Linked DNA regions of Diceros bicornis minor. The protein of the gene in region 3 interacts with the protein of the main gene of each other region in a biochemical or structural test. Links are inferred from orthologs where the notes say so. Each region holds a gene or a part of one and is shown on either strand. Other genes may lie near its edges. The genes, in order: RAD9A, ATRIP and TOPBP1.

Region 1 (10,572 bases), on a different chromosome or scaffold from region 3:
TCTAAACCTTTTGTGAAGCTATTTATATTTCCAGCTGAGACCACATCTTGGGGTAATGAGTTCCATCGGTGTCCCCCCCGCTGGGTGAAGCACGCTGCCTTTGATTTGCCCTAAACTTACCTCACTCACGCTCCAAGGGGGCCCTGTCACTCCAGCATGCCAGGTTGTGGCGAACAAGCCTGAGCTTCCCCCTTCCCATCCCTGCTGTGGGTTTAAAAAATTCCATCCCATTTCCCCTCCACCTCCAACCCTGAGATTGAAGAGACCTGGTCTCATCTGTGCACGGAGCCTGGCAGCGCAGGCACAGCCATTACCTCATGCCAGCCTCCGGCAGCTTGCGAGGACGGCAAGGACTCACCTTCTCCTCACGAGGCAGAGGGCACTGAGGGCCCAGAATTGAGGCACGGGCTCGCGGCAGCAGCCGCAGCTTCCCCCACACCTCTTCTGGGGGCTGACTTCTGCCCCCACCTGAGTCCTCGGAGTACTTTCCAGTCCCTGGCTTCAGCCCTTTTCTCGGTAATGTTTCTCTGGGGGGATTTTCCTCCCGGGTTCCTGATGTGGATTCACCCTGGCTTCGTCCACACTGATGATTTATTTTGACCCCGGTCCTGACCTTAGAATACTGTGAGGGTTCTCTCCAGAGATGGAGGACGGAGGTGGTAGGACAGCAATAACAAGAACAACACTGACAGTGTGTACAAGAGCTTTACAGACATCACCTGAGTTAATCCTCACAACAGCCCTGTGAGGTAGGGACCGTTATTACCGCTCCCCCAGTTTACAGATGAGGAAACTGAGGCTCAGGGAATACAAGCAGCGTGTCCACTTGCACAGAACCTGGAAGTGATGGAGCCAGGATTCAGACCTGGGCAGGCTGGTGCCCAGAACCCCACTGTCCACCTCAACAGACAACCTGAGTTCAAGTCTTGGAACCTCTCTGAATCTTATACTCCTCAGTCTTTCCACATATGCCTATGAAACCACTGCTATGTGCCAAGCTTCTTCTGGTTGCTGGGAGAAATGCCGGGGAACGGGAGAGCCCTGGGCGGGGCTTGCCTGTGTGGGCTGGTGGCACCTGGTGTGCCACAAATGCATTACAGGTGGGCAAGTAGGTAACCTCACCTGCTTGGTTACCCCAGAGTAACCCACAAACACCATTCTCTGTGTGTGCACAGCACAGCAGACTCCCATTGGAGCCTTGGCACAGGCCACTCCCTCTGGTCTGTCTCTCTCCCCTAGTGGAAGCCACGAGAACAGAGATTTTTGTCTTGTACTCTCTTTCCCGAACTTAGAAAAGTGTGTCTAATATGTGTTGAATGAATGAATTACTGAGCTCTAGGGATTCCTGTGACTTCAAAACTAACCAGTTGGGTGAGAAATAATGGCTGAAAGGAAGAAATTTCCTGGCAGATAATTATGTTAAGAGTTTGAAATGGTAACCCCCTTCTTCTGTTCCCTATCTGCCCCCTGCACACATTCACACATTCCCACATGCTTACATCCTCATGCGCTTGTAGGAGGCCACCTCTAATGTGGGTGTGGCGCAGACTGTAAGAACTTGGGGTAAGAACCTGAAGGAGCCTCTCATCCAACCCCCTCATTTTGTCAAGGAGGAAACTGAAGCTCAGAGAAGGGCCTGGACTTGCTTGAGGCTTACTGTGAGTAGGGCTAGAGCCACACCCAGGTCTCCTGACTTCTGGCACAGACCCCATATCGTCTTTGGGTCCCTATACCTATCCCTCACCTAACACAGCGTTCCTGACAGTTGAGAGGCCCCCTTCCCCCACTGCGTGTCCTCCCTTCTGGCCCTGAAAGGTGTTATTGGCTGTGCCAGCTGCAAGCCTGGGGAGGCTACTTGCCCTGATTGGAGAGCTCCCTTCCAGCCCACAGCCTGGGGGAAGCAGGACGGCCAATTACAGCTCCTCTCCAGAGCTGTGGCCAGATGAGGGGCACAGGGAAACCGGAAGGCCCCTTTGGGATCACAGCGTGTCAAGGGTGGAAGGGACCTCAATGTGCATCTCATGCCACCAACCACATTATACAGACAAGGAAACAACTGCAGAGACAGGGAGGGACTTGCACAAAGTCACACAGCGAGTCAGTGTTGAAGCACAGGCTGGAAACCCAGGACTCCTGATTCCCAGCTTTAGACTCCCTTCCAGTGTCCGAGGCCTTCCGAAGGGTCAGGTGATTCCCCACTTTTGGCAGGTGTGGGTGTGTGACTGAAGAAAGACGTTAAAAGTCCTACAGAGGGCCGGCCCTGTGGCTTGGTGGTTAAGTGCGCGCGCTGCGATGCTGGTGGCCCGGGTTCGGATCCCGGGTGCGCATCGAGGCACCACTTCTCCGTCCATCCTGAGGCTGAGTCCCACATACAGCAACTAGAAGGATGTGCAGCTATGACATACAACTATCTACTGGGGCTTTGGGGGGAAAAAATAAAATAAATAAAATCTTTAAAAAAAAAAAAAAAAGTCCTACAGAGGGCCGGCCCCATAGCTTATCAGTTAAGTGCATGAGCTCCGCTGCTGGCGGCCCAGGTTCGGATCCCGGGCACGCACCGACGCAGCGCTTCTCCGGCCATGCTGAGGCCGCGTCCCACATACAGCAACTAGAAGGATGTGCCACTATGACATACAACTATCTACTGGGGCTTTGGGGGAAAAAAAGGAGGAGGATTGGCAATAGATGTTAGCTCAGAGCCAGTCTTCCTCAGCAAAAAAAGGAGCATTAGCATGGATGTTAGCTCAGGGCTGATCTTCCTTACAAAAAAAAAAAAAAGTCCTACAGAGTCATGTCTCCCTCTCCCTCTCCCCAGGGCCTTGTTCCAAAGACCTCAGGGCCACAGGACCCTACAGCCCCACAGGGGTCAGGGCAGAGGCGTGACTGTGTGGTTATTCACGGCTTCCCCTCGTGCCTTCCAGGGAGCTTTGGTGTCTTATCTCCCGTTCCAGTTGCTCAGGTAATGGCGTGGGGCAGAGGTGGAGAAGCTGGGAAGGCTATGCTGATTTACACCGGCAGAAAAAGACAGGGAGAGAGATCCGGAGAGGAGGAGGAAAGGTAAGGACGAGAACAGCTCATGCTAGGTTCCTTTGTTTTTTTGACAGACTTGGGGGGGACAGCTATTGTCCAGGGAAGGGTGGCACTGTGGGCAGAGGCCGGAAGTTAGATTTGTTTCTTTCATCACCACACCATGCTAAGAGTGACTTAGAGGCAACTCAGCTTCATTTGGATCGCACACTTGTTCACTGAACACATACTTATTGATCATCTACCGAGGGCCAGGCCCTGTGTGGGGCCAGGCCCTGTGCGAGGCACAGGGGTACAGCAACAAAAGACACGGTCCCTGCCCTCACGTTGCTGACATACCAGTGAGGAAGACAGACATTAAATAAGTAGACACATGTATGAAATAACATTGAGTTGTGATAAGTGTTGTGTTAACATAGCAAGGGCTCAGCTGGAGAGTCGGAGGAGGGGGGATGGGGGGCAGACAAGGCCCATCTGAGGATGGGCAGCTGAAGCTGAGCCCTGAGGAAGAGAAGGAGCCAGCAAGTGGCGAGGCTGGGGGTGGGAGGGCGGCGTGAAGAGCATTCCAAGTGGTGGGAACAGCACAGAGATCCCAAGAGTGGAAAAGGATGTGGTGGGTTCAGGAAACTGACAGGGCCAGCTGGCTGCAGAGGAAGGCCAGAGACAGGTGGAGAGATGGGTGGGCCGGCTCCTGAAGGTTCAGGGTAAGGAGTCTGGATTTTATGGCAAGTGTAGTATGTGGCAACCACTGGAAGATCTAAACAAGGGAGAGGCGTGACACGATTGATGTTTTAGGAAGGTCACTTTGGTGCTGTATAGAGAGGGGACTGGAGGGGACAGGCTGCAGGCAGGAGACCCCTCAGAGAGCTCTTACAGTCGTCCATGTGAGAGATGACGGTGGCCTGAGCCAGGGTGTCAGTTGTGGAGATGGAAGAGGAGGGCAAAGTTGCCCTCTGTTTGGAAGGGGAGCAGTCAAGACTTGAGGAAGGATTGTAGTATGTGGGGTGAGGGAGAGGGTGGTGTCAAGGATGACTCCCAGTTTACTGATCTAAATGCTGGGCAGAGGTGGTGTCATTTGCACTGATCTTCCTCCCCGGAAGGGGGAAGGGAACAATAACCTCCCTCCTCACCCCCCCCCCCGGCCCCCACCCCAGTGCTCTAGAGAAGGGCCAGGCTGGAGAGCGAGGGGAGCTGAGGGCAAGAAGGAGTAACAAAGTAGGGTTCAGAATTGCAGGCCAGGGGGCTGGCCCCGCAGTGCAGCAGTTAAGTGCTCACACACATTCCACTCCCGCGGCCCAGGGTTCGTATCCCAGGTGCGCACCCACGCACTGCTTGTCAGCCCATGCTGTGGCAGCATCCCGTATAAAGTAGAGGAAGATGGGCACGGACGTTAGCCCAGGGCCCATCTTTCTCAACAAAAAAGAGGAGGATTGGCATCGGATGTTAGCTCAGGGCTGATTTTCCTCACACACACACACACACACACACACACACACACACACACACACAAATTGCAGGCCAGGAGCAGGAGAGCCAGGGACCCACAAATATGGCCTACTCCCCCCAGAGGGCCCCCCAGGAGCAAGACCAGGCCAGCCCTAAAGGAACGCAGGGATGCCCAGGGCCCTTCACAGAACCTTGGTGCTGCGGGCAACTAGAGGTCAGAGAGTCCCTGCAGGGCATTCTCTCCCACCTTACACACGTGGGGACCGAGGCCCTGGGCAAAGGGAAGACCTCCCTGCTGATGAACCCTTCCTTTTGCACAATCCAGGAGTCTTTTTTAAATGGCCCCATAAGCACGACACTACCCTCGTAAAAAAAAGTTTCCAGCGCTCCCCAGTACTGCCCCTCAACATTTGGCAGCCCCCACACCTCTGCGAGGCTCTAAGACCCACTTCTCCGTCCTCCGGGCAAAGCCCCACCACCGCTGAGCCTTTACTCTCGCTCTTCCTCTGCTAGGTACCCGCTTCCATCCTCTTCCACACAGAGAATATTTTGTTCTTCAAGGATCGATGAAGGATCCTGGAAGCCAGAATGAAGAACCACGTCCCACCCCGGGATCCGGTAGCCCGTTGCTTTAATCTCTTTTTAGCGCTGGTGGGTGCTGCTTGTGTCCGAGTCCCCGGCCCGGTCTCGGTGCGGACGATCTGGCTTCGACCCGGTATCCCCGACAACGCCCAGGAAATCCGTACTAAATCAGTGACCTAGGTGTGCTGGCCCGCACATCTCAGGCCTCCGAGCCCGGGGCTCGCTCCCCCGCACCGGGCACCTCGTGTCCTGGGGCCGCGTCCTCCATGCTCCTCGCGTTCGGGTGCGCAGCCGCGGGCGCGGCCAAACGACCCGGTCCCCAGGGGCGCGGGAGGCCGGGGGTGCGCCTGGACTGCAGGAAGCAGCAGGCACCGCCACCGCCGGGCGCTCCTCGCTCACGTGACCAAAGCCCGCCCCGGCACCGACTCCGTCACGTGACTGCGGAGCCGGCGAGCGTTTTCTCACGTGACGGAGGCGCGGGTGTGTGGACCAATGAGGATGCGGGGGCGGGCCCGTCGGGGGCGGTGCGCGCGAAGGGAACCCTGGCATCAGCGGCTGGCGGCCGGGAGACCCGGAGGCAGGCAGCGAGTCAGAGCCCGTTTGGGGGCCAGCCGCCAGTCTAGCCGCTGGCGGGCCAGGCCCGGGCTCGGGCTGGGGCGGCATGAAGTGTCTGGTCACGGGCGGTAACGTAAAGGGTGAGTCGGGGCTGACGGGGGGGGGGGGGGCGGGGGCACGTGGGACGGCCCGAGGCGCCAGCCTAACCCCTGTTTCTCCTCTCCTCCCCGCAGTGCTCGGCAAGGCCGTCCACTCCCTGTCCCGTATCGGGGACGAGCTCTACCTGGAGCCCCTGGAGGACGGGGTGAGAGGCTGGGGTATGGGGAGGGGTGAGATTACGACGGGGAGCCCTAACCTGGGCGAGTCTCGCCTCCCGTGGGCAGATTTGTCTGCTGAGTTTCAGTTTCCTCCCCGCCGTCACTGGGGCTTCAGTTTGGGTCCTGTCATCTTCCCAGGCCAGTGTGTGAATTGAGAGCGGTTGCCCTCCCTGCAATGCCCAGTGGCGGGTGGGGTGACTTGGGGAAAAAGTGAGTGTGCTGACGGCTGGGTAGGGCCCTTGGCTGTGGGAGCAGTGCTCAGGCGGACTCAGGGAAGACTTCGTGGAGAAGGTACTCACTGACTGGAAGGAGAGGGAGGATTTCTACAGGTGATGGTGGAGGTGGAGGACATTAGGGCAAGTGTGTGAGCAAAAGTGGGCCAGAGGGCTGGGCCTGTCGCTGCCCACTGACTGCATCCCTCTCCCTGCTTCTCCTGGCCCAGCTCTCCCTTCGGACTGTCAACTCCTCCCGCTCCGCATATGCCTGCTTCCTCTTTGCCCCGCTCTTCTTCCAGCAATACCAGGCGGCCACCCCTGGTCAGGACCCCCTGCGCTGTAAGATCCTGATGAAGGTGAGGCCCTTCCCTCACCTGCACAATGCCCCCCCACCGTCCCATCGAACCTCCACCAGCAGTATGTCTGCTCTGGGGCACTGAGTAATTGCTGACTGGGGAGAGAGACTATGCAGAAGCCATCCAGTGCAAAATGCAGTGAAGGGCATGATGAAGACACCAACAGAGGGTAATGGGAGATATGGAGGAGGGGATTGATCCTGCCAGGGACCTGGAGAGAGTGGTAACATTCAAGCATGTCTTTCAAGGCATTCCAGACAGGGGGAACAGCATGAGCAAGGGCCTGGAAGCGTGTAAACATTCTGCATGTTGTGGGAGCTCCTTTCCTGGTGTGACAGTGCTGAGCCGTGGTGGGCCAGGGCCTGCAGGGGACATGAGAGCTGGTTGGTGCAGGTGCAGCGCTGGGCTAATATGTTTCCCCCACTCAGTCGTTCCTGTCCGTCTTTCGCTCTCTGACAATGCTGGAGAAGACCGTGGAGAAATGCTGCATCTCCCTGAATAGCAGGAGCAGCCGCCTGGTGGTCCAGCTGCACTGCAAATATGGTGAGTAGGCAGCTGGCTGGCCAGGGAGTCCCTAGCTGTGGGGGTGGAGGTTGGCAAGGCCCACTGAGACCCTCTCTGCCCATCCAGGGGTGAGGAAGACTCACAACCTGTCCTTCCAGGACTGCGAGTCCCTGCAGGCTGTCTTCGACCCAGCCTTGTGCCCCCATGTGCTCCGTGCCCCAGCCAGGTGAGCACGCCCCCTGGCCGCAAGCTCAGCCCTGGGTCTCTCTTTTCCTTCTTTGGGGCCTCAAGGGCCCATTTAAGAAAGCACCTCTTCCATTTTCCCTACAGGGTGTCTGTGAACCTCAAAGAGTTCATCCAGCTCAGTTGGCTCTCAGGTCCTTGTCTGGCTCTTTAAGGGCAGAGGCTAGAGTGGAGGAGGGGCAGGATGCTCCCTTGCTCCACGTTCCTCACTGTCTTTAGGAGCCTGTATTCTCTACCTCAGAGGTCCAGCTTGGCTTTCTGGTCGCTCAGACCCATTCTGACTTCTCTTTTAGACAGGAGGTCTCTGGCCTGAGCAGCCTTGAAAGTCCCTAATTAATCTTTGTGGCTCAGGGGCTCAAAACTCTTCTCTGGCCTGGTCATCCTTCTGGGAATGTTCCCCATTCAAGGGCAGCCTCTCTTCCTACCTGCCCGGGCTCTAGCCTTGAGAAGTCCCCAGGCCAAGGCAGGAGGCTGGGTGGGGAGGTTGTCGTCCAGGAGGGCCGCCTGAACAAGCAGCCACAAGTAGGGTGGACGCGTTCTGGGCAGTCCGAGCACCTAGAGGCCCAGGAGGTGGGGCCTTCAATGGAGACAAAGGTCCCTGATGAAGACCAGCACAGGGAGGAATGGCTCCCCTCCTGCCCCATGCTGGACGCTGCTTGCATTTAAGTAGCCCCAAGTCTTGTTTGTTTCTTTTGGTAGCCGTAGGACATGATAACCTGAAGGTCCCTTTGGGTCCTGACAGTCTGTTTTTCTGAGTTCTATTGAGATGGCACTGCTCAAGATTCCTTTGGGTAAAGAAAGAGGGAAGGCTCTTACCTCTAGTCTGGATTTTGAGGCTTTTTTTTCTCTCTTTTTTTTAATGAGCAATTGTTTCTCTCTCTCTCTTTTTTTTTTTTTTTTTTTTTTTTTGCTGAGGAGGATTAGCCCTGAGCTAACATCTATTGCCAGTCTTCCTCGTTTTTCGCTTGAGAGAGATCGGCCCTGAGCTAACATCTGTGCCAGTCTTCCTCTGCTTTATATATGGGATGCTGTCGCCGCATGGCTGACAAGTGTTGTAGGCCCACGCCCAGGATCTGAACCCGTGAACCTGGGCCACTGAAGCAGAACGTGCTGAACTTAACCACTATGTCATGGGGCTGGCCCCTGTTCCTCTTTTTCTTATGGACAATTTCAAATACATATAAAAGCAGATGCCAGCTCCTGTTCCAATTACTTTGAGGCAAATTCCAGATGTTACTTCATCTGTTAATATTTGTCAATTTATTTCCCTAAAAGACGAGGATTTCAGGGCTCTTTCTGAAGGCCCAGTTTATAGGGACAGCGTGACTGTGGTTTCCCACCCTTGGATGGGCAGGTGCTGCCTGCCTGGTTTGGTTGGGTGCAAACAGCCCATCCTTGCTGCTGCCTTCTCTGGGCTCCACTCTTGTCTGCCCCATCCCTTGCAGTGGACTTCTCTCCCAAGACAGCCCGGGAGCTTTTGATGGGGCAGGGACCCTGTCCTGCTCACCTGGTCCTCCTCCCTGGGGGCATGCTAGGCCTGGCCCGCAGAGGTTCTCCTGGGATGCTGGTGTGTGTTCGCTGCCCTGCCTTAGATCCTCTGAGAGCAAACCCACTGAGGGGGGCTGAGCCTTGGGTGTACAGTCATGCATCGCTTAATGACGGGGATATATTCTGAGACATGCGTCCTTAGGCGGGTTTGTCATTGTGTAAACATCATAGAGTGTGCTTACACAAACCTAGATGGTAGAGCCTACTACGCACCTGGGCTGTATGGTACTAATCTTATGGGACCACCATCATATATGCGGTCCATCATGACTGACTAAGATGTCACTGTGCAGTGCATGACTGTAATGCTGTGCCCTCCTCACAGGGTCCTAGGGGAGGCTGTTCTGCCCTTCCCCCCTGCACTGGCTGAAGTGACGCTGGGCATTGGCCGTGGCCGCAGGGTCATCCTGCGTAGCTACCAGGAGGAGGAGGCAGGTAAGGGAGCGGGACACAGCCTGGGACAGGGAGCAGAGCTGGGGTGGGAGGGGGTGAGGCCCAGAGGCCCAGGTTCCTTCTGTTCCTGCCCCCACAGACAGCACCGTCAAAGCCATGGTGACTGAGATGAGCATTGGGGAGGAGGATTTCCAGCAGCTGCAGGCCCAAGAAGGCGTGGCCATCACTTTCTGTCTCAAGGAATTCCGGGTGAGGATCCCCACACCCACTTACCACCCTGTCCTCCCTGTCCTGCCCAGGGCCTCACTCTCTGCCTCTGCTCCCCCAGGGGCTCCTGAGCTTCGCAGAGCCAGCAAACTTGTCTCTTAGCATTCACTTCGATGCTCCCGGCAGGTAATTCCCAGCCTTGGGACAGGGAGGGGAGGACCCTCGGGTGCCAGGAGCCGAAGGGCCCTGACCTCGCAGGGACCCATCACCTGCCCAGGCCAGCCATCTTTGCCGTTGAGGACTCTCTGCTGAACGGCCACTTTGTCCTGGCCACCCTCTCGGAGCCATACCCGCACTCCCAGGACCTGCGCTCCCCAGAGCCCTGCCGGCCAGCGCCTCAGCTCCAGGCCCACAGGTGAGGGCGCCTCGACCTCTGGGCACCCTGGCCTGAGCCTGCTGCTTCCAGTGTCTGCACCTCCCCACCCCCCACACTTCCTGTCAGGCCCCAGCCCCTCCAGTGCTCACAGCTTCCAGAGCTTCCAGCCCGCAGGCCCAGCCTTCCGGGTCAGCTGTGTTCGGAGAACCCTCCCACCCAGGGAAGTGTCCCCAAGGTGGGACTGGCTTCCTTCTCTGGCTGAGGCCTCCCCTTCGAGCCTCCCCCAAGGCCAAGGAGGGAAAGGGCTGCCTGGAGGCAGGGGGCTGCTTGGGGTGCGGGAAACAGGTGGCTGGAAGGGCAGGTGGGTTGGGGAGGATGGGCCCAGTGTAGTTTAAGCAGAGGAAGTTTGGTCTGGCCCCCCGCCCAGCATGTCCCTGGGCCCCAGTGCTCTCCAGCTCCTGTCCCCTGGGAAGGTGGGGGCTTGGGCCCCAGGTGGCCCAGCTCACAGGACTTGCTGCTCCCCTCCCCGAGCTGAGCTAAACCTGACCCCAGGATGCCTCCCTCAGGCCCCTACCTGAACTCTGATCAAACAGATTCCAGGCCCACTCCCTCCAGGAAGCCCACCCCCTCCAGGAAGCCGCCACTTAACCCCTGCATCCCCTCCCCTCCAACTAAATCAAGAATAAAACAGAGAGATCACCAGCGGTCACGAGGCCCCTGCAGCCCCCTCTGAGCCTTCCAAGGTGGGGTTCTGCATTGGTACCCCCTCTTCTCTCCTTGTTCATCGATGACACCATCTCTAC
Region 2 (10,504 bases), about 31 Mb from region 3:
TTATCCTAAAAGCCTCGTAACAGGTCTCCCGGCTTCTATTCTAACCCCTACAGTCTGTCAACAGAGCAATCAGTGGTCCTTTCAAAACACAGATCATATTCAGACTATGTCTCTGTCTGCTCAAATCTTGCAATGGTTCCCCATTTCTCTCAAGGGAAAAGCTAAAATCCTCTCCACGGCCTACAGGGCATCCATCTCCTGGCTCTCATTCTTCTCGGACCTCTTCTCCCACTAGTCTCAGTTTCCTCACTCTGCTCCAGTCAAGTGGACCTTTTTTTCCCCAGCTTTATTGAGATATAATTGACATATACCATTGTATAAGTTTAAGGTGTACAATGGAATGATTTGATAGACATATGTATTGCAAAACGTTTACCACAATAAGGTTAGCTAACACCTCTCCTCACATAATTACCATGCATGGACCTTCTTGATATTGCTGGAACACACTAGTCTCTCTCACCTCAGGGCCTTCATGCCAGCCGTTGGCTATCTGTGTACTGTTTGCTCCCTCCCCTTGATTTCAAGTCCTGCTCAAGTGTCATTGTCATCCACCCCATCACTCCTTACCCATTTTGTCTGCTTTATTTTTCTCCCCGCACATATCACATGACCTGCGATATGTATTTCACTTATTTACTTGCTTATAGTCTGTCTCACCCACTAGAACGTCCACTCTGCCAGGGCAGGCACTGTTTTGTTCACTGCTGCATCCTCAGTGCCTAGATGCACATAGTACATACTCAACAAAAATGTATTGGATGAATAAACAGAATTTGCCAAAGTCGCACCAGGACTATATTACAGAACCCAACTCCTTCCGGTGGCCTCCAAAGCTCTAGGACCAGGTAATCTGGCCCCCTCCCACTTCTGCCACCTCCCTCGCATCTCGCTCCAGCCACGCTGTGCATTCCTCGGTTCCAGGAACACGCCAAGCTTCAAGGCCTTTGCACCTGCCCTTTCCTCTAGCCCCACTGCTTTCCCCGTGCACGGTCCCAGACCTGGCACCCCTCCTGGCTTCCACCCCCTCCTCCCCCACCGCAGCCCCGGCAGGACGACCCTCCCCCTCATACCTGGCGCGCCTAGCGCTGAAGCCGCAACCCTACGGAGCACCCGCCACTCAGTTGATCTCTGACCCTCTAGGGCCCGCCTTCGGAGGGCCGCTTCCGGCAATGGGAGAGCAACTTCCGGACTGGGAGCCAATCAGCGGGCCCGCGTGGAGGTATAGGCGCGGGGGTGGGACAGGGAGCTCCGCTTCGGGTGGCAGAGTCTGGGGAAGGCGCGGCAGGCGCCATGTCCGGCCGCGAAGGTGAGTGTGCGAGGACGACGTGGTGGGGCAGAAAGGGGCGGGAGCCGGCGGGCGCCGGGCTGAGCGTGCTCGTGTCGCCCACAGGTGGCAAGAAGAAGCCTCTGAAGCAGCCCAAGAAGCAGGCCAAGGAGATGGATGAGGTGAGGGCGGGCGCCGAGGCGTGGGCGGGCGCGGAGGGACTGGGAAACCCGCCTGGAGTGAACCCGCTCTGCCTCTCCGTAGGAAGATAAGGCATTCAAGCAGAAACAGAAGGAGGAGCAGAAGAAACTCGAGGAGCTAAAAGCGAAGGCGGCGGGGAAGGGCCCCCTGGGTGAGTGAGGGCCGGGTAGAGCTCAAGCTGGACAAACGTTCCGAGCATCAGTCTGGACGCGGGCCCGGGCTGGTCGGTTTCCTGCCTTGTTGGTGAGTTGCGAGGTCTCGGTTCCTCGTGTCCGCTGCGGCGGACGGCCCTAGCCAGGCTTGGATTCACAGCAACAGGAAGCGGCGGGAGCAAAGGGGAAAGGAAGTCTCCTGCCTCCCAGGGAGTTTGGGCTTCCCTTCTTTAGGGAAGCGGCAGAAATGGAAATAAAAATTAATATATCTTAGGCACATTCATACAGTTGAGTTTCCAAATATCCTCCACAATTTCTTGCCCCAAATTAGTATTTCACTGCTTCTTTATTGCTTATAATATTTCTTGACTTACTAGTCGTACTGTTAACTCTAGTAAATACTTTTGCATCCTGAGTCTGCGCTTCAGGATGCACCTAGACTAAAGGTTAAGGTCCAGGCACCTTGGCGTGATTGCACTATATGCTTTTTTAATCTAATTCCTGACCATTCTGCCTCTTGTTTTTCTTTATGTAAGAGGAATTGATTACATATCAAAAGATTTTTCAGTCCCAACAGTTCCAGTACTTTCTGTGCTTCTTAAATCCTGTTTACATTCATCAAATTAGTGATTATTTCCTCCACAGTTGTCTATGCCTTATTGGATTACTGTGAGGCACACTGGGGACAATGGAGGCTGGGATGGTGTGAGTGTCATCCAGGGCTTCCCAAGACCTCTATCGCAGTGGGTTTGATTCATTATTGCTTACCCACACAGCGCTGAGATTCTAGCAATTGAGATTCCTTTTGGGAATGATGTAAGGTATCTTGTACCTCCTCTTAATTTGTGATTATGTATAGGGAGGTCAGTCCTTAGTGAAATCCTACACTACTTGATTCTCATTGAGCATCATCTAATTTTTTAAGGTTTATTTTGTCACAGCTCTTTAGGATCTTCATTCCTGTATTAGGCATACTTAACTCTACAACTATTTCTTATATTATCTACTGTGTGCAAAATATATAGTCATTTGTGAATTGGGTAAAATAAAGTATTGGCTAAACCAGACCCCAGGATTATAATATGGAAGGTAGTGTAGTGTAATGTGGTGGTTAAGAATATGGACTTCAAAGTCAGACTTCGAATCCTGGCATTGTCACATACCAGTTTATAACTTTGAACAACACCTAATGCTAAGACTTTGTTATCTGTAAAATGGGTTGATAGGGGATGAGGATTAAATGAGCCAATCTGTGAAACACACAACACAGTGTAGATCCAGACCAGTGCACAGCCATTACTTGTGCCTCTGCCTCATCCTCATTCTGCATTTGCCCAGAGTAGACAATATTGGTAAAGCCCTGTGCATGCTTGTGTCACAAAGAATGCCCAGTACAAGAGCTGAGCCTTACTGGGATTCATATCAAGCCCCTGGGGCGTCTACCATAAGAACGGTATTTTTCCCTAGCTGAGACTTTTTCCTTTTTTTTTCAGCCACAGGTGGAATTAAGAAATCGGGGAAAAAGTAAGCTGTTCCTTGTGCCTGAGGCAGTGGTGATTGTTAATTCCATTCCTGTTTAAACATCTGGATTCCCTGCCATAACATCTGTTGCCACCTATAATTAGAATGAAGTGTTGTCTTGGAGCCTGTTGTACATTTAAGAATAAATTTTGTAAAAAAAAAAAAATCATACAGTGACTCGTCTTTATTTAGTTCTTCTCACTCAGCCATTTCTACCTTAGCTGTGAGGTCAGAGTAAACCCAGCCCAGAATCCTGCCAGTGTTCTTCAGTCTTTGTTCTATCCCGAATTCTGTACCACCTGGAGTTAAACCAGCTCATTTCAAATGGCTGTTGTTTCTGTCTGGTTGTATACTCAACAGAATACATTACATGAGGTTAGTGGAAGAATTTGTACTTTGGAAAGAAACTCATCTTTCCGGCCGGCCCCATGGCTTAGCGGTTAAGTGCGCGCGCTCCACTGCTGGCGGCCCGGGTTCGGATCCCAGGCACGCACCGACGCACTGCTTCTCCAGCCATGCTGAGACTGTGTCCCACATACAGCAACTAGAAGGATGTGCAGCTATGACATACAACTATCTACTGGGGCTTTGGGGGAAAAAAAAAATTATAAAAAAAACAGAAGACCCATCTTTCTCTGTCATAACATCCATGTTGCCATTTGTTTTAATGGGATTGTTCATCTGTTCATGTAAGTCGAGTCTCCTGTGTGCAGGCTGAGCACGTACCAGTGAACAATTCCTGCTGTCAAGGAACTTCTCTATTGTGGGAGGGGAGCAGGACAAATACATATGATATGCGTTGTGAAAGGAAGAAAACTGGGGAAAGATTCCTGAAAGTCTCTAAGTACCAAGCTTACTCCAGAGCCCCCAGGTCTGCATTTCCACTAGGGCTTCAGAAAGGTCCTTGCTAGGTTCCCATGTCTTATACCCCCCATTCAACCCATCAGCAAAATTAACTCTGGCCCCTTTATTCTTCCTCCAGTACCACCACCACCACCTCCCCATTCTAACCCTAAAATCCCTCACCTGGATTATTGCAATCACATCCATACTTGTTTTCCTGCCCCTACCCTTGCCCCCCTACAGTCTAATCTTCACTCAGGACCCAGAGTGATCTTGCTAAACCATAAAGTCACTCTGTCTCTCCTTGGCTCAGAATTCTTCAGTGCCTTCTTAGAGCACAAGCCAGCGTCCCTACAAGGACCAGATCTAAGGGATCTGGATGCCACTCTCTACCCACTGATATCTTCATCCCCCTGATCCATCTTAAGCCACAGTGGCCTAGGTTCCAAGCAAGCTCCTGCTTCACTGTGTTCGCAGCAACTCTTCATTCTGCCTGTCACTCTTGTGGTAGTGGAGATTCCCTCCCTTTAGAGAACTGAAACATCACAGTAGTGAGCTTTTCTCCGACCACTCTATAAAGTGGCAGTCCCAATATTTCTTACTCCGTTTCATTTTTTTCTCCTGACATTTGTTGATTATCTACCACCCTTGACTCCAGAAGGAGTAAATTCCTGGAAAACGAGATCATCCATAATGTATGCCAAATGCACATGTATTGAAACACTTAATCCAGAGGCACAAGTCTTTGGATTTCCCCTCCAGACCCTTGATAAAATTATAGGAATAATGCTAATAATGCTAAGCTTTCTCTGAGAATGTGTTTTCAAAGGGGCTCTAGAACTAGTCTGAGATTTTGCTGAGTCAAAACTGGAAAAGATTTTGATAGATTGAAGCCTGTTTTATGACTCTAATGTACCTGATATCCACAGAGAAGAAAAAAAAAAAGCCCGCTTTGGTCCTCTCTCAGAAAGTTACACAGCCCGCAGCACCTTCTTTGGACTTTAGGTGTTCCCCGTGAGGCCTTGAAGCTGGCACCCAGCCCTAGGCTGCTGAGAACAACCTTTCTGAGAGGCAGTGCCAGCACACTGCCCCTGAGAGTAAGCTACTACTTTTTTATTTGGTGGAACCTAATCCCTCCTGACAAATGAAGTATAATCCTGTCTCTTTATAGGACCAGAGACCTGCAGCAATTAAGACTTACGCATTCAACATTTGGACAGGTATCTGAGGGAACCTACCAAATGCCTCAAAACTAAACTCAAGTATTTAAGACCCTCTAGGTCCTGACAACCATCTCCCTTTCATCTACTGCTTTCACAAACATTCATAGGACACTCACAGGCTAAGTTTGGCACTGAACATGCAAGGATGAAAAGAGTCTTGTTCCTGTTACTCTCCAACAGCCTGCTCCTGCTAACCGTCCTGCACACCACTGCTGCCGGATAAAATCCTGTCGGGCTCAAGCTCAGCTTGAATTCTTGCTCCTCTGTGAAGCTTTACCTTCTCTCTTTGCCATAGATAACTCCTATCTGGCATTTGTGTGGCCTCCACTTCGGTGTTGTATTCTTGTCTGAGTAGTCTTGTGGGCCAGCCTCCTTGCTAACTCTTGATAACTCCCACCCAACCTGCAGGACAGCCCAGGTGCCACTTCCAGGGAGACTTCTTGACCTCCTGAGCCTTACTCATTTCTGTATGACCAGCGCTTGGGACAAAAACACTCAAGGACTCTCAGAAAAATTAATGAATGAATGTTAACAGCCTAAGCAGTTAGTTCCCACCCTCCTCCAACACAGGCACGCCCTTTTCAGGATTCCCCCCACCCCCTTCTCCTTAGACCTTTCTTCCCCAGACGTACCTCAAATGTACACATTCAAAACATTTACTGTTCTCAAATCCGTGTGCTCACAACAGCTCTATTCATAATCTTCGCCCAGCCCCACTCTCTCCAAGAGAGCCTCGGGGTATGTGAGAGGTAGGTCCGGTGGGAGGAGAGCGAGGTCGCAGAGACCAAACCCCTAAGTGCTGCCTGCCTGGGTTCACGTGCGCACTTGTGAATGTCAGGGCGAACTCCTCCAGCGTGGCTGTGTACCCACGGGATGCCAGGGAGGAAGCGCAGAGCCACCTGCGCGGTGGGGTCGGTGAGCCTCAAACCCGCAGTCCTGGTATCTCAGTTCGCGCCGCCAGAGCTCCCGCCACCGACCTTCTGAGTTCCAGGCGCCGGTACCCGAACGGCGGGGCCCAGAGGGCTGGGCGCCACCGAGGACAGGCACTCAGCTGAGCACGGCGGCGCGCTCGGATGTATGTCATTCCTCCGCGCCCGCCGGCTGGCAGCTGATTGGCCCTTAGGATCGGGGGCGTGGCCCGAGCGGCTGAGGCGAGCTGCGGCGCGCGGGCGGTTGGTCCAGGTCCTCCGTCTCGCGGCGACCAGGCCGGGCTCGGTGCCTTCGAACAGTGGCTGGCGGCAGGCATGGCTGGAACCTCCGCGCCGGGTAGCAGGAGGCGGAGCGGGCCCCCGGCGCCTAGCCCTGGCCCGCCACCCAGCACCGGGCACCCTCCGAGCAAGCGGGCCCGGGGCTTCCCCGCGGCCGCCGCCCCAGACCCTGAAGACCCTTTCGGCGCGCACGGGGATTTCACCGCCGACGATCTCGAGGAGCTCGACACCCTCGCGTCACAGGCCCTGAGCCAATGCCCGGCCGCGGCTCGGAACGTGTTCAGTGAGTGCATCTCGGGGCCTTTTCCCCAGAGGGTGGTGCAGACCTCGCCAGACCCCCCTTGATGGCTGTGGCTTCGGAACCCCAGGGCGACCGTCGCCCCCGGTGTCTTGCACCCACACTGCCCCTTCACCTTTTTAAAATATATGAACAGCTTGATTTAAGCAGCGGTTGTGTCCCAAAAGGTCCTTTGATTTTGAGGAGAAATGTATCAGGAATGTCAAACAGCTGATTTGAAATATAGAAAACTAGGTTAACATTTTACTTTAGTTTCTAAAGTTTGCCACTAGGTTCTTGGTTCTAAGCCGAGATCCTTGAAACACGGCTACCACCGCCATCGGAACCATCACTGCCTGTGCATGGGGACCCATTCTCGTGACGGGTTTGGGAGGCTCTAGATCTAATGAAGATCACGCTCTCCCTTGGGCGGCATGAGCATAAGAGAGGCCTGGCAGAGGCAAGAGATGAAAGAGTCTTATTCTTTTATACAACCAATAAATTGTACTAGGTGACTAGACCTTAGGGACTGCAGCACACTTAGTAATGAATAAAAGACATAAAGCCCTTCCTTCATGGAGCTTACGTGATAGTTGGGGAATGAGTGAAGTCTTGTGGGGCTCCCAGAAAGAGAAAGGTTTTGAGAGCACCTTGCATCTCTACTTGGATGTCTCAAAAGCATCTTAAATTCCACACAATCATTTCCTGGAAATCCAGCATGTCCAGCACACTGCCTGGCAAAGCAGATATTCCGAAAACACTCATCAATGACCAAATGTTCTGCACAACAATGACTAGCCCGCTCTCCATCAGGTGGCACAAGGCAATGGCTCCGTTTCCTTGACCATACGTCTAATTCCTTTCAAAATCCTGTAACTTTACCTTCTTATTCCTTCTCTGGAATCCATCCTCTTTGCATCATCTCTACCATATCTCTGATCTATGTCACCATTGCCCCTCCTCTGGACAACAGTCTGGACAACTCCTTGTCTCCCTGTTTCCAGTCTTGACTCTCTGCAAGTTGGACTTCACACCACAGCCACAGTGATCTTTTCAAAACTCAAATTTGTCTGTGTCTCACAGATTCACGCGAGCATCCCTACTGAAAGCCTTTAATGACTTCCCACTGCTTCTAGTATAAAGATCAAAATCTTTAACATAGCCTGCGAGGCCTAGCATGGTCTGTCCCTTTCCCACTCCCTGAATTCTAGCCACACTGACTTTCCTTCATTCTTTGAATTCTCTCTGCTTCCTTACAAGACAGAAACTTTGCAAGTTGCTGTTTCTTGTACATTGAGTGTGCTTTCCATCCATTCCCCATCCCCATTCATCTGGTTAATTCCTGCTTGTTCTTCAGCTATCAGCTCAGTCATCACTTCCTTAGGGAGGCTTGCCAATCATTCACTTGGGTCAGATCCCTCTATTATAGCCTTTCCTATATTTGTTCTCCTCTGCAGCTTTTATCACAGTTGTAATTTTACATTTATTTGTATGATTATTTTTGAATGTCCTGTAAATTCCATGATTGTAAGGACTATATCCATTTTGCTCGCTATTGTACCTTTAGAGACTAAATTGTGCCTGGCATATTATAGGTACTCAATAAATATTGTTGAATAACAGATCACAGGGTTCTAACCAGTGAGATCCCCACAGCTCCTTTCAACCTTTAGACTCTTAAAATTGAGTGGGGGATGGGGTGAGGGTAGCAGGATCTGTTATTTCATAAAGATCATTTATGAGTTTAAATCATGTTCTTAGGTTGGAGATATGTATATTGCTTACTAGATCTTTCTCTAATTTGCTTTCAAGAGTGATTCTTTTCAGCATTGTCTGGCAAAGGTGGGAAAATATTGGGTCCTGAAAAGTATATGGGAACTGTTTTTTACAGATGTTCATAAGGTCCCCAGATTAGATGGGATGTCAAAAAATCCTGCAGGGAAAAACAGAGCAAGTGTTCCAGTTAAAGATAATTTTGAATTAGAGGTACTTCAGGCACAATACAAAGAACTTAAAGAAAAGGTAAGTGACTTAATTTGTGGTTTTGTAGTTACTTCATTCACTTATGCATGTATTATAAAGCATTGTACAATAAAATATATAAAAGTTTTAAAACAAGAGCCCAGATTCATCTCCATGAAATGGAGGAAGGCTGGGGAAAGAAAGCCAGAAAATTTAGGCTGAAATAAACTAAATCCTTGGTGAACATGATGTAATCTAACAGAAATCAAAATATAGTGATGCACACCTGAAATTTATATAATGTTATAAACCAGTGTTACCTCAATAAAAAAAAAAAATATATATATATATATATAAAAGAGGGGCTGGCCCAGTGGTGTAGTGGTTAAGTCCACGCGCTCCGCTTGGGTGGCCTGGGATTTGCGAGTTCGGATCCCGGGTGCAGACCTACGCACCACTCATCAAGCCACGCTGTGGCAGGCATCCCACATATAAAGTAGAGGAAGATGGGCACAGATGTTAGCTCAGGGCCAATCTTCCTCACCAAAAAGAGGAGGATTGGCAACAGACGTTAGCTCAGGGCTAATCTTCATCACCAAAAAAAAAAGAAAAGTAAATCCTGAGATTCCTAACAGCCAAGGCAAGAAAGGAAACACTGTACACCAGATCCAAAAAGAGACACAAACTTTCTGTTTTAGCACGGAGATAAATTTATAGTATATGCCTTATATAAGGAACACAACATCATAATGGTTGCTATTTTCATTAGCAGTTTTGCAAAAAAAGCAGACATCTTTCATATGACCATCTATAGGTCCCTAGGAAAACCAAGAACATAATGTGGAATTTTAGTTCTGTGAGGTGTGTGACCCAGATTTTTTAATACCTACTGGAGCCTACAGAATCTGCATGCATAAGTGACAAGTGTGTCCTTAAGCTATGTTGCTGAATATCAGCTGTCTCATGAATGGGCCTGGCAGATCATGGTGACATCTGGTTGGTAGGGGTATATTTTGAGCACTCATTGGTCTGTAGGACATGTTTCACGTGTGCTTTCTCCGTCTCCCCAGCAACATGTTGAAACAAGTACATATATAATTTTCCCTTACAAATTTGTCACAAGATTGATTTGGGATTTACAGATGAAGGCAATGGAAGACGAAGTCCTCCTTAAAAATGGAGAAATTAAAATTTTGCGGGACTCACTGCATCAGACAGAATCCATTCTAGAGGAACAGAGAAGATCCCATTTCCTTCTTGAGCAAGAAAAAACTCAAGCACTCAGTGACAAAGAAAAGGAATTCTCCAAAAAGGTGACCCAGAGCATTTGCTTTGCTTCTTACTGACATCAGCTTATCAGCTTTGTCTGCTCACTGAGTTCCTTTAGAAGCAATGACCAAAGTTGCCTGTAAATCTTCGAGGAGGTTTTCAACAGTTGTTTGTCTTAAAGACTTTCTGGTATCAGCTAATTGCATATACTTTTCTTCCAGGCTTTGCATGTGTTTTAGCAAAGGACTTAGATGAAACTCTGCTTTGCAGGTCTTGGCAGGAATAAATCACTAGCTTAGACTTTCCAGAAACAGACTTAAATTAGGGCTTTTGGGAAGATCAGAAACTCAATTCCCTAGCTTAGGCTAAAAGGAAATAAATTGGCTTCCATAACTAAATCTGGGAAAAACAGGTGTGCTGGGGCCTCCAATGACTCAAGCTGTGCCAGAACTCATCTTTATTCTCTATGCTAAAAACAGGCTCCATCCTTATGGTAGAGGATGTGTTCTCCGGAAGCTCCTGGGCTCATATTTCATGGCTCCAGAGCAGACTGAAAACTTGGGCTCCCTCATCTCAAGCTT
Region 3 (10,443 bases):
ATTTAAAAAGATATATACTGTTGTATATTGACTTTGTTATAAGTCATGAACACCAGAAGTGCAAGGTCTTTCAAAGTATTTCCCACACAGTGAAAAATTAAGTGTTGAAATATATATACATATAGATCATGACAGTCCTCTCAACACCTACCCTTTTGTCTTTTTCCAGGCTTGTACAAGATATGGTTACATCAGACATAACCATATTATAAACTGGATGTTCAGCTCTCGGAACACATCGCTGGTGGTGCATACAAAATATGACTACTTGAGGACCAACAATTCTGCAGCCAAGCTACAAAAAAAGAAAAAGTTTAGTAAACAGGAAAAGGCCTCCAGTCTTACAAAATTATATTTTGTAATATTTACCAATTCTTTACAGAAGTTGATGACCACTGCAGAAAAATCACCAAATTATTATAAGAAAAAAATAAAGACTATTAAATAATTTCTCAGACACACTACACATTAAATAAATACACACAAAAGCTAATAAAACAATGCAGGTTATCAAAAGAAATAAGCTTCAAGAGCCACACTCACTCAAAGTTGCCATCAAAATTTTAATCTCTGAAACACATTCTTAATAACAGAGGATATGAGTAATAGTCTTATGCTATAATAATTAGCAAATATCCATAATACTTTTCAAATGAAGCACCCAGCCAATGAAGCAGTTTAAAAGTATAGGAGACTAAATAACCCTCCTCTAAAATACTTATGTCACAAAAAAATACATAATCCTACGCAGTTTCTACATTTGTGTTTTAAAAACTTTGTCTGCAACTTAATGTCTTTCCAAGCAAGATCCACAAAGACTTCTCCTAAGATATTGCAGGTTACTCAAAAAATGACTTCTCATTTTCATTGATAATTGAGTTAAGAAAGATGACAGTCTTGCTCATCGTCAGCACATTCAAGCCAGACTAAAAAGTCTATAGTTGCCAAAGTCACCAGGGCATGACTGATTTAAATATTTACAGGGTAAATGATTACTGCTATTTTTTTGATCAGCCATAAAAAAACTGAGTTTTTGATGCTATTCATTCTGACAAAACATGTTATTTCCAACAGGAGGGTGAGACTAGCAATGCTTTTGGCTAAGGTGGGCACAGACCTTCCATAAATTGTACAGATACTGCATCTACCTACTCTTCTATGTTTTCGTCTCCTTCAAACAAGAATCACTTCTTTGTAATCTGGATGGAATTACAGCCAGTTTACTTTTATTTCAAGGCTTCTCTCTTGTCCAGACATCAAAAAAGTAATGAGTCAGTAGACTCTAGAATCAACAAAAAGAAATAAGATGGCTCATTGGTATATTAGCAATATTCACCCCCAAAATGCTTCCTTTTAGCTTACAATTTTTCAGACCCTATACAAGGTACAGGTACTAAAATTCTGCATGCAAGAGCACATAGGAAAGATGGTTAAGTACGAAGCGTTATGTGGAGGGCCTTTCCTACTCTTTACTGTTTCTCCCTGAAATATCTCCCAATCAAACTGAATTCAAGTACAGTAGAACTCTATCACTGAAATGCTCCATTACTATAGAGCTCACTTATACTAAGTGAAGTTAAATCCCCTGAAATATAAAAAGTACATATAACAAAAGCCTATTATAACATAATTAGCCTTTAAAAATATCATTCTGATCTCCCAAAACCAAAGGATTCCTCTGGATGCATAATATGTGTAATATTTCATGATCAGTAAAGAACTTACATCCACTGAAGCAAAAACAAACCAAAAAACAGATTGCCGAAGGAAAACACTAAAAGTTAGCAAACCTTTTTGAGGTGATCAAAGACAATGCCACTAAAAGGGTCACAGATATAAAGTGATCGATCATTCTCCTTTATCTTCAATGCTTCTTCTTCTGTAATAATCTGAAGATATTCTTCTGATTGGAACTCTTTTATTGACTGAAAGAAAAATGAAATAAGAATGCACCTGAAATTATTCACCTGTATTTAAGTTCTACGAATTCTATCATCAAACGCCATCTCAAATCCAGCCTTTTCCCTATGAAAGCTATCATCATCTCTCACCTAGACCTCTGCAGACGTCTCCGAAGTGGTTCCCTCTCTCTCCCTGGCCCTAAATCTGTTTTCCACACAGCAGCTAGTAATCAGGTCACGTCACTCTCTGCTCAAAAACTTCCAATAGCTTCCCACCACACTCAATGAAATCCACATTCCGACAACGGCCTACAGACCACAGAGTCTGGGCCCTGCCTATCTCCCCACCCTGACCGTCTGTCACTCGCTCATCCCTCTTGCTTAGTCTTCTCTAGCCACTCCTGCTTCTCTTCTAGGCCTGGAACAAGCTAAGCATGACCTCAGGTAGAGGCTTTGCTCTTGCTCCTGCTGCCTGGAATACTCCTCTCCCAGGTCTTCCCCTGACTTAGTCCCTCATTTCAATCAGATCTGCTCAAATGTCACCTCCTCAGAGATGCCTTTCCTGATTATGCCTTCTGAAATACCCTTTCCCTATCCCTCTAGTCTATTTTATGAAGAAAAATAACATTGATATTATGTAAATAGTGTTTGCCTTTCTCACTTATAAGAGTGACAGTTTCATGGTCTAGCGGGTTTGCCACCACATCCTGGCACTCAGTAAGCACCTGTTTTCTGAACAAATTTTGAAGTCCTTATGTTAAATAATTAGAATGATCTTTTTAAAACAATTAAGTCAGATCATGTAACCCCTCTGATTAAAACCCTCCAGTGGCTCTCCATCTCACTGAAAGAAAAAGCCCAAGTCCTTACAATGGACTACATGGCCTCTTTACTCTTATACTTTGAAGCATCCCTTAATATTCTCCTCCCATCCGTTGCTCACTACACTACAGCCACACTACGTCAGACAGACTCTCCAAGCACTTTCCCAGGGGCTTGTGTATGGTTGTTCCCTCTGCCTGAAACCTTCTTCCCTAGATATCCACATGGCTAACTATCTCACCTCCTTCAAGTGTACTCAAATATCATCTTCTCCATAAACGCTATCCAGATCACACTCTATTTAAAATTACTCTCTCCCTTTTCCTTCTGCCCCCACAAACATCCTCCAGAACCCCTTAACCTGTTCTGCTCTTTTCTCTTCCCATAGTACTTAGCACCTTGTAACATACTATATAGTCTACTCATTTATCGTGTCTGATTAATGTCTATTTCCTCTTGCTAGAACAGAACATAAGCTCTGAGAAAGTATGGATCTTTGCCTGCTCTGATCACTGATGTATCCCAAGCACTAGAACAGCGCTTATCAGATCACGGACATTCAATAATTACTTGCTGAATGAATGAACTTTAAAGAAATACCTGCTACAACAGTACTTCCTAAACTTTAATGTACACCGAGGATCACACTGAGGATCTTGTCAAAATGCAGATTCAAATTGCTAAGTCTGAGGTGGGGCCCCAGATTCTGCATTTCTAACAAACTCTCAGGCCATGCGGATGCTGCTGAGGCCTGTGAGTAGCAAGGCTCTACACTACCCTACAGCCTTCCATATTACACTGTAAAAAATGAAACATACTTTTAACAACCAGAAAATGAAGTGTAACCAGTACATGACTGACTTAAATTTTTTCAACACACGAAGGTCTACTCTGGGTAGTAGACAAAAGAAAGCAACTTAATTTTTAAGAACAGCAGGCGTGCCACTTTCAACAGAAATGTCATAATAGATTTCAAGTCCCCCAAAATACATAATAATGATATACTAACATCAATTCAAAAATATGTTAACAATGACGTAGCTATAATAATGTAGACTACAGTAAAACTATTATAAAAATAAACTAAGAATAAAAAGCCCAATAAATAAAAAACACTAAAAAAAAGATGAATTCACAGCATCAAACAAGACATTCCCAACTATTCTTACCTCAAGAGCTTTAAAAAAATATTCAGAATTGTCTGAAGACTTTAAAAACTTCACGAAAAACGGTTCTTTGTCATTTCTGGACATTTTTGAACTGTCAAAATAAAGGAGCCATTAACAAGAACGACAACACATTAGATATGAAGTGACATGTTTAAAGCACCTATTCTTCTGTGCAAACAAGAATGCCTAAGGATAGACATTCTGGCCTTGCACAGGAACTCGTCCACCACGTTTGTAAGAAACGCAGGAACGTGGGCAAAGTCAAGGAAAAAGATGAAAACACCAATCTTTGCAAATCAGAGAACGAAATTAATGTCTCTAAATTGAATACACTGAGGGCCTTTGCTATGGGGCTCTAAGCCCCCAAGCCAAAGGACATTCAATTGCACTTGGCTTAAGGATACACACAACGAATCTGTCCCTGTGGGTCTCCCCGGCCCTCGAAGCCTGTCCACCCTCGGTAAACGGACATTAATATAAACATGGAAGCCACTTAGCAAGGTCATGCCCCCTAAAAGGCCCGCCGCTCCGGCTCCCCAGCTCCCAGGGAGAGGCCTGGCTCTCGGTCCAGCCGCAGCCACAACCCTCCGGCGCCCGAGTCCCACCCGCCGGTCGGAGGGCCGGTTACCAGTGCCCCGAGGGCCAGAGGAGGGGTCGCGCCCCCCAATTGTGGTGGCAGGGAGCTGGGTCCCGCTCCGGGCCGCACTGACCTCGCCGCAGCCTGGGGGTCTTCGGGCGGCGGGTGGCGGGAGTGCGGCCCGCCGGACGGCGTCTGGGGTCGGGCGCGCCCCCGGCGCACCCCCGCCCCCGGCGGCGACCGCGGCCCGAGGCAAGCGCAGAACCCGGAAATAGCCGAGGCCGGGAACCGACTTTCGCGCCAACGCGCGGACGTGCCCGCCTCTTCCGACGGAAGTGACGCCACCGCCGCTGCGGGAGGAGGCCGGGGATGGCAAAGGTGGTGAGGGCGGCGAGTGCCGTGCCAGCCGGCGGAGGGCTGCTCCGGGGCTTGGGCCGCGTTCTCTGGGGCTCAGGGCGTTGAAGGGCGGGCCGGGCTCCGCTGGGCATTGGTCCAGGCCCCACGGCTCAGGGGGCGGGGCCGCGGGCCAGGAGTACCTTAGAGGAGGTCCCAACGCAGGGAAAAAGAAAGCCGGGGGAGAAGAGGGTTTCCTCAGTTATTACACCTGCCGAATGCCAGGCAGTGCGCGAGACCATGTGTTATCATCCAGAGCAACTCTATGAGGCAAACAGCGTTTTACCGATGTAAAAGCGGAGGCTTAGAGAAGTCAAATGATGTGTCCCAGGTCACACAGTAAGTGGTAGAATTAAGATGGCATCCACCTCTTTTTGACTCCACGGACTGGGTTCTTTCTCCTCCAATATAGCAGGAGTATAATCACCAGCTGCCACAGCCAAGAGGCCTGAAGGGAAGAAAGAAGTCAGGGTGACTTGAATTACACACCTAGTGCAAAGGGGTCCTTACCAAGATGCCGCCTCTTTCAATGAGCTTCTCATTTTCTTTCCCTGTAGCTCCCCCTGAGTGTTGGGGAGATTCTGGGATGGAACCTAATGTTCAAATAGCAGAGATCGGGGGAGAGGAGGTAAAAGGGGACTGCAGTTTTTGCTTGTTGATGACCGATGACAAACTGCTTAGTTAGTGTTTCTTCTCATTTTATTTTTGACTCTTGAGATTGAGAAGCGCATGACTCTGGATTGAGTGATGTGAGAGCTTAAGGCGATGTACCTCGATTGTTTTTATTTTTCTTTCTAGTTCCTACAGATGGCAATGAGCAGCTTGGGTCTAAGTGTGTGAGTACACCCGTGGAAGGTGAGTCAGATCAGTAACTCTGGAACTCGAAAGGCCTGTTGTTGGGGAGAAGGTGAGGAAAGGCTTAGAAATAAAGTTGTAAAAAAAACAAGACGATGCCACAGTTAATTGTAAAGGAGCGAATTTATCGTGAAGCTGTAATAGTAACTACTATTTGTAGGGTGCTTTACAGTTGACAAAGGACTCCTGCTTGCACTATTCCCGTTTACTCAGCACTCTCTAGTATGTGGGCATCACTGTCCCGTGCTATGCAGATGGGGAAAGTAGGCTCAGGGACTGTGTGACTTGCCCAGGGCCACATAGCCGGGAAGTGACAAGAGGCGGCGTGACTGGAACCCCGTGCCCTTCCTGACACCACACTGCTCCTTGTTACCTGCTCCTGCCCATCTCTGCTCGGTCAGCACTGGGGCAGGAGCCCATTCCTGACATTTCTGGGGCTGAGGAGAGGTCTCTTGAGAGTAGGAGAGTCAGAGATGCTGCTAATGAAGAGGAGGAGGATGATGAAATCAACCTTTAGCTTTTTTTGTTGTTGTTGAGGAAGATCAGCCCTGATCTAACATCCATGCCAATCCTCCTCTTTTTGCTGAGGAAGACTGGCCCTGGGCTAACATCCGTGCCCATCTTCCTCTACTTTATATGGGACGTCGCCACAGCATGGCCTTACAAGCGGTGCATCGGTGCACACCCGGGATCCGAACCCGGGCCGCCAGCAGTGGAGCGTGCGCACTTAACCACTACGCCACGGGGCCGGCCCCACAACCGTATAGCTTTTAGCAGCTGGATTTGAATAGCAGAGGAGTCGACCTCATCTTTAGAATGGGAGACCAGGTGACAGGTTCTCCCATCTGTGTCTCCACATAGGCAGAGAGAGTCTGTGTCTGTCCCCGAAGTACCTAATCTTGGGCATTAGCTAGAACAGTGGTTCTCCATCCAGTGTAGTGCCTGGACCAGCTGCATCAGCATCACCTGAGAACTTGTTAGAAATGAAAGTTCTTGGGCCCCATCCCAGATCTACTGAGTCGGAAACTCTGAGGGTGGCGCCACTGCCCTGTGTTTTAACAAGCCCTCTAACTGATTCTCCTGCACATTAAGGTTTACTTGACCCGCAGTCCTTTAGGAAAGGGTGAGAGTGGTTACGTGGGTTGTGGTCCATGAAGATTTTGGTAAAAATGAGGAATAACTGTGATGTGCTGTCAAGAAGCTGCTCAGAAAATGGGGTTCAGGGATTAACTTTCCCCTCACCTCTCTGGCATTTAGGATCACCTCCCTGAATATTTGGCACTTCTGCCACCTGGAACCAAACACTCCAGACCCTGCTTGGAGTAGGATTAAAAGGAACTTTATCTGTTTGTAGAATGAAAAAACACAGGAAACAAATATCACAAAATAGTTACTTTTAAAATATGGGTGGTGGTAATATAAGTATTTATTTCTGTTATATTTTGCTACATAGAGAAGACTTATCAAAATTAAAAACTAAACTAAAAATAGATTTTTGAGGATTTTATATTTAAGTTTCCAGAGCTGTAAATGAATAAATATGTATAAAGGGATGTATAGTTTAAAAATGAAATTAGTAAATGATCTTTATTGCTGCAGAAATAGTCTTTGCAGTGCAAAACATTTGTTTAAACTGTCATCTTCAGTAACCTGGAAGATAGAACATAGGCATACTGAGTCTTCTGAGGTGCAGGGAAGAGGAGGCAAAATAGAATGTAAGTGGCACATATTGGTTGCTACTGGCTGCGTTTAATTCAGTATTATAAGAAAGCCTAGCTCAGGGAAGAATGAGCTTGTTTGCAAGCGAAAGATAAAAGGGAATTTAAAAATCCAAAAATATGGCATTTTGCAAGGTTAGAAAAGCTGGCTGCATCTAGACCCTAAAAACAACAGATCAGTCTGAGAGAGATTTTGAGCAACAAATGTCTATTACAACCCATCCATGTAGAAAAGATCTAGTTAAGAATATGGCCCTCCCACCCAAGCTGGGTAGGCACCATCAATTGAGAGAGAGAGAGGGATGGGGCCAAGGATAGCAAATTAGTCTTGAAAATTAGTCTAGGAGAGAACTGTGTGTGTGGCTACTACCGTAGGGGAACAGCTCTGCCATGGCTTCCTGGCAGCCTTGCACATATCCGTGTAGGCAGAGGTTGGAATTGCAGCATGTCTGAGCCTCAGTCAAACACCTTGTGATCCTATTGGAACACAAGAGAGTGGGGTCCTTTAAGGAGATGCTAGCTATGAGGCCACCTCCCACTCATCTTCCTGCCTCCCCTCGGAGGCTGTCATCAGTTTCTCATCGCCTCCCAGATTCTGATGAGGTATCGGGCTTTCTGCACCACTCCCCTCAGAATAGAGCTGCAGAATATGAAACCACTTAGCTGCTGTCTAGTTTTGGCTCCTCAGCAATGGGGCTTCCCACAACAGCCTGTTTTGTTTCAGTGTCATCTTTTTTGGTATCTGGGACAAGGACCCTGGGAGCTGGCACCTTTGGCTTCTTCTTCCTTTTTGCTATCTATAGAAGTAACAAGCGATCTAAATCTAAAAGTGTCTCATGTATCTTCACCAGTCTAATCAGTCAGGCCTTGCCCTTGACCTTGTCTTATATGTGAGAGGTTGACGACTACCACATGAAACTGACTGGAAGCGAATAGATCTGAAGGTTACTGGAGTTTTGAGACAATTGCTCTATGAAAGAAACCAGAAGTCTGGAGTGTTCAAACTTTGATACAATCTTCAAGCTTGCATAGTCAGAAGTGGGTGAAATGTCATACAGCCCCCAAGGAGAACAGACTCCTCCATACCCTGTCTAGACATGGAGACAGAGGATAATGGAAAAGGAAGAACCTCCTAGAGAGAGGTGCCAGGGACCTCGGAGAGCAATGAGCAATGGAGCTACTTTCAGAGAACAGAATCTGAATCTAATCAGGCAGAGGAGCCACCCGATGCCTGCCCAGTAGGACTTCAGGGTTTGTACTGACGAGCAATGGCTATGGGTCTCCCCTCCTCTCCTTTCTGAAAGGGTTTTATTGTAGTTATTCTGTCCTTGTGCCGCCATTGTATATCAGGTGTGCAGTTGGGCAGGAGTAGGGGTGGGCAGCAGCCTGTGTTTTTAGTCCATATGTCACTGGACCATAAGGTGGATTCTGGTAGAGACCGTGTAGCAGACCCTTAGTTTCCCACACATATCCCCTCTACCTTCCCACTCTTAAACACGTTAGGAAACTTCCAACTGCCAGCACCTGTGTTTCTTTGCATGAAGGCATTTTCTGACACCAGGAGTCTGCTTTGCCACCTACACAGTAGACCAAAGGGCAAGAGGACTTATGACCCATGGAAAAAACCCTCAGTGACTGACAGGAGTTGGTGTACAAAGACTCTTGTTTGCAAGCCCCTTGGAGGGATATTCTACCCTGGCTCACATAGTTTCCCCAGTGGAATTAAGCCCTGGTCTCCACGTGGTAACTGACTTATTAATACATCCGTTGGATGCCTTATTTTCCTGGTCTCACTTCCCCATTCTCTTACCTGTGTTTCTTTACTTACTAAATAAAACATTTGAAAAGTCTTGTCTGAAAGTCTGTTTTCTGGGGGAACTCAGACTAAGAGAAAAGATCCAAGGTGTATGCTCCCCTTTCATAGTGCATGTTGTTGCTGGGAAGACGTTGCCCAGACAGGGATTCCAATTCCCATCCTCTTTGCATCTAGGTGGGGTCATGTGACTGAGTTATGGCCAATAGAATATAGGTAGAATTGATGTTTATTACTTCCAGGCCTAGTCCATAAAAAGGACTCTTATACTACCTTCCATACTTTTCCTTATTCTGGCTGTCAACACTCAGGGCAGTCTAGGAAGCCACATGTTGAAAGTGGCAGAGCCTCTCTTAGTCTGGATCTCTAAACGACTGACCAGAGCTATGAAAGTGAACTCCCCATCCCTGCCTCTCCAACAAATCACCATCACTGCTGCCAATTGGGCTTTATATCAGCAAAAGTCAACTTCTATCATATTAAACCGTTGAGATCTGGAGCTTCATCTGTTATGGCAGCTGGTACCAACCTAATCAATCCCAAACTTGGCAAGATTTGGACAAATGTTTTGCCAATTCAAAAATTGTCTCTATTATCACAAAGCCGTTGGAAAGAGGAAAGAGTGAAATTGCTCCAGAGACAAATGCCAGAGGCCACATGGAGAAGAGCATGGATTGTGGAAGCAGGCTGCCTAGTTGGAATGCCGGCTCTGACACGTACTAGTTGTCTGACCTTGGGCAAGTGACTTAACCCCTCTGTGCTTCACTTTCTTCCTGTATGAAATGGGGATGAGAATAGCATTTACCTATGGGGTTATTATAAATTAATATTTGAAAAACACGTAGCTCAATGCCTGGTACACAGTTAATGATAAATTTACAAACTCCTAATTTTCCAAAGACCATTCTTGCCATAAAGTCTTTAAATTGTTTCCTACAACACGATCTTCTACCCTTCTGCTTTGTTGTTGTGAGAGTTTGTGCCAACGCAGCAGAGATGGCTTGAGCACTTTGGATTCCTGCCTTTGCAATATGACTTTGTCCTTGTACATAGGAGGTTTTCCAAGTTTGCTCCACTCAGAGGTCAGAGGGCGCCTTGGCCCTGATAGATTTGGGCTGTGTTAGTTTTAGGTGGATCATTAACCTTGGGAGGAATGTTCATCTCTGGACCCTATTTGGTTTTTGCCCACAGGTCT

Evidence for each region.
Region 1: the proteins of TOPBP1 (region 3) and RAD9A form a complex in vitro, tested with the Homo sapiens proteins (4 studies listed by BioGRID). The link is inferred for Diceros bicornis minor from reciprocal best matches to the Homo sapiens genes TOPBP1 and RAD9A.
Region 2: the proteins of TOPBP1 (region 3) and ATRIP form a complex in vitro, tested with the Homo sapiens proteins (2 studies listed by BioGRID). The link is inferred for Diceros bicornis minor from reciprocal best matches to the Homo sapiens genes TOPBP1 and ATRIP.

What each region holds. Positions count from the first base shown.
Region 1 is NC_080770.1:6,136,217-6,146,788, reverse strand, and holds the start of RAD9A (cell cycle checkpoint control protein RAD9A), read left to right. Parts: upstream 1-5,596; 5' UTR 5,597-5,716; coding exon 5,717-5,750; intron 5,751-5,843; coding exon 5,844-5,914; intron 5,915-6,369; coding exon 6,370-6,498; intron 6,499-6,926; coding exon 6,927-7,041; intron 7,042-7,128; coding exon 7,129-7,228; intron 7,229-9,118; coding exon 9,119-9,228; intron 9,229-9,325; coding exon 9,326-9,435; intron 9,436-9,514; coding exon 9,515-9,579; intron 9,580-9,670; coding exon 9,671-9,808; intron 9,809-10,572. UniProt on the Homo sapiens protein: Component of the 9-1-1 cell-cycle checkpoint response complex that plays a major role in DNA repair. The 9-1-1 complex is recruited to DNA lesion upon damage by the RAD17-replication factor C (RFC) clamp loader complex.
Region 2 is NC_080741.1:49,798,413-49,808,916, forward strand, and holds the start of ATRIP (ATR-interacting protein), read left to right. Parts: upstream 1-6,376; 5' UTR 6,377-6,451; coding exon 6,452-6,698; intron 6,699-8,583; coding exon 8,584-8,714; intron 8,715-9,796; coding exon 9,797-9,967; intron 9,968-10,504. UniProt on the Homo sapiens protein: Required for checkpoint signaling after DNA damage. Required for ATR expression, possibly by stabilizing the protein.
Region 3 is NC_080741.1:18,705,443-18,715,885, reverse strand, and holds the start of TOPBP1 (DNA topoisomerase 2-binding protein 1), read right to left. Parts: upstream 4,693-10,443; 5' UTR 4,603-4,692; intron 3,984-4,602; 5' UTR 3,977-3,983; coding exon 3,893-3,976; intron 1,926-3,892; coding exon 1,791-1,925; intron 1,283-1,790; exon of another isoform or gene 1,153-1,282; intron 296-1,152; coding exon 152-295; intron 1-151. UniProt on the Homo sapiens protein: Scaffold protein that acts as a key protein-protein adapter in DNA replication and DNA repair. Composed of multiple BRCT domains, which specifically recognize and bind phosphorylated proteins, bringing proteins together into functional combinations.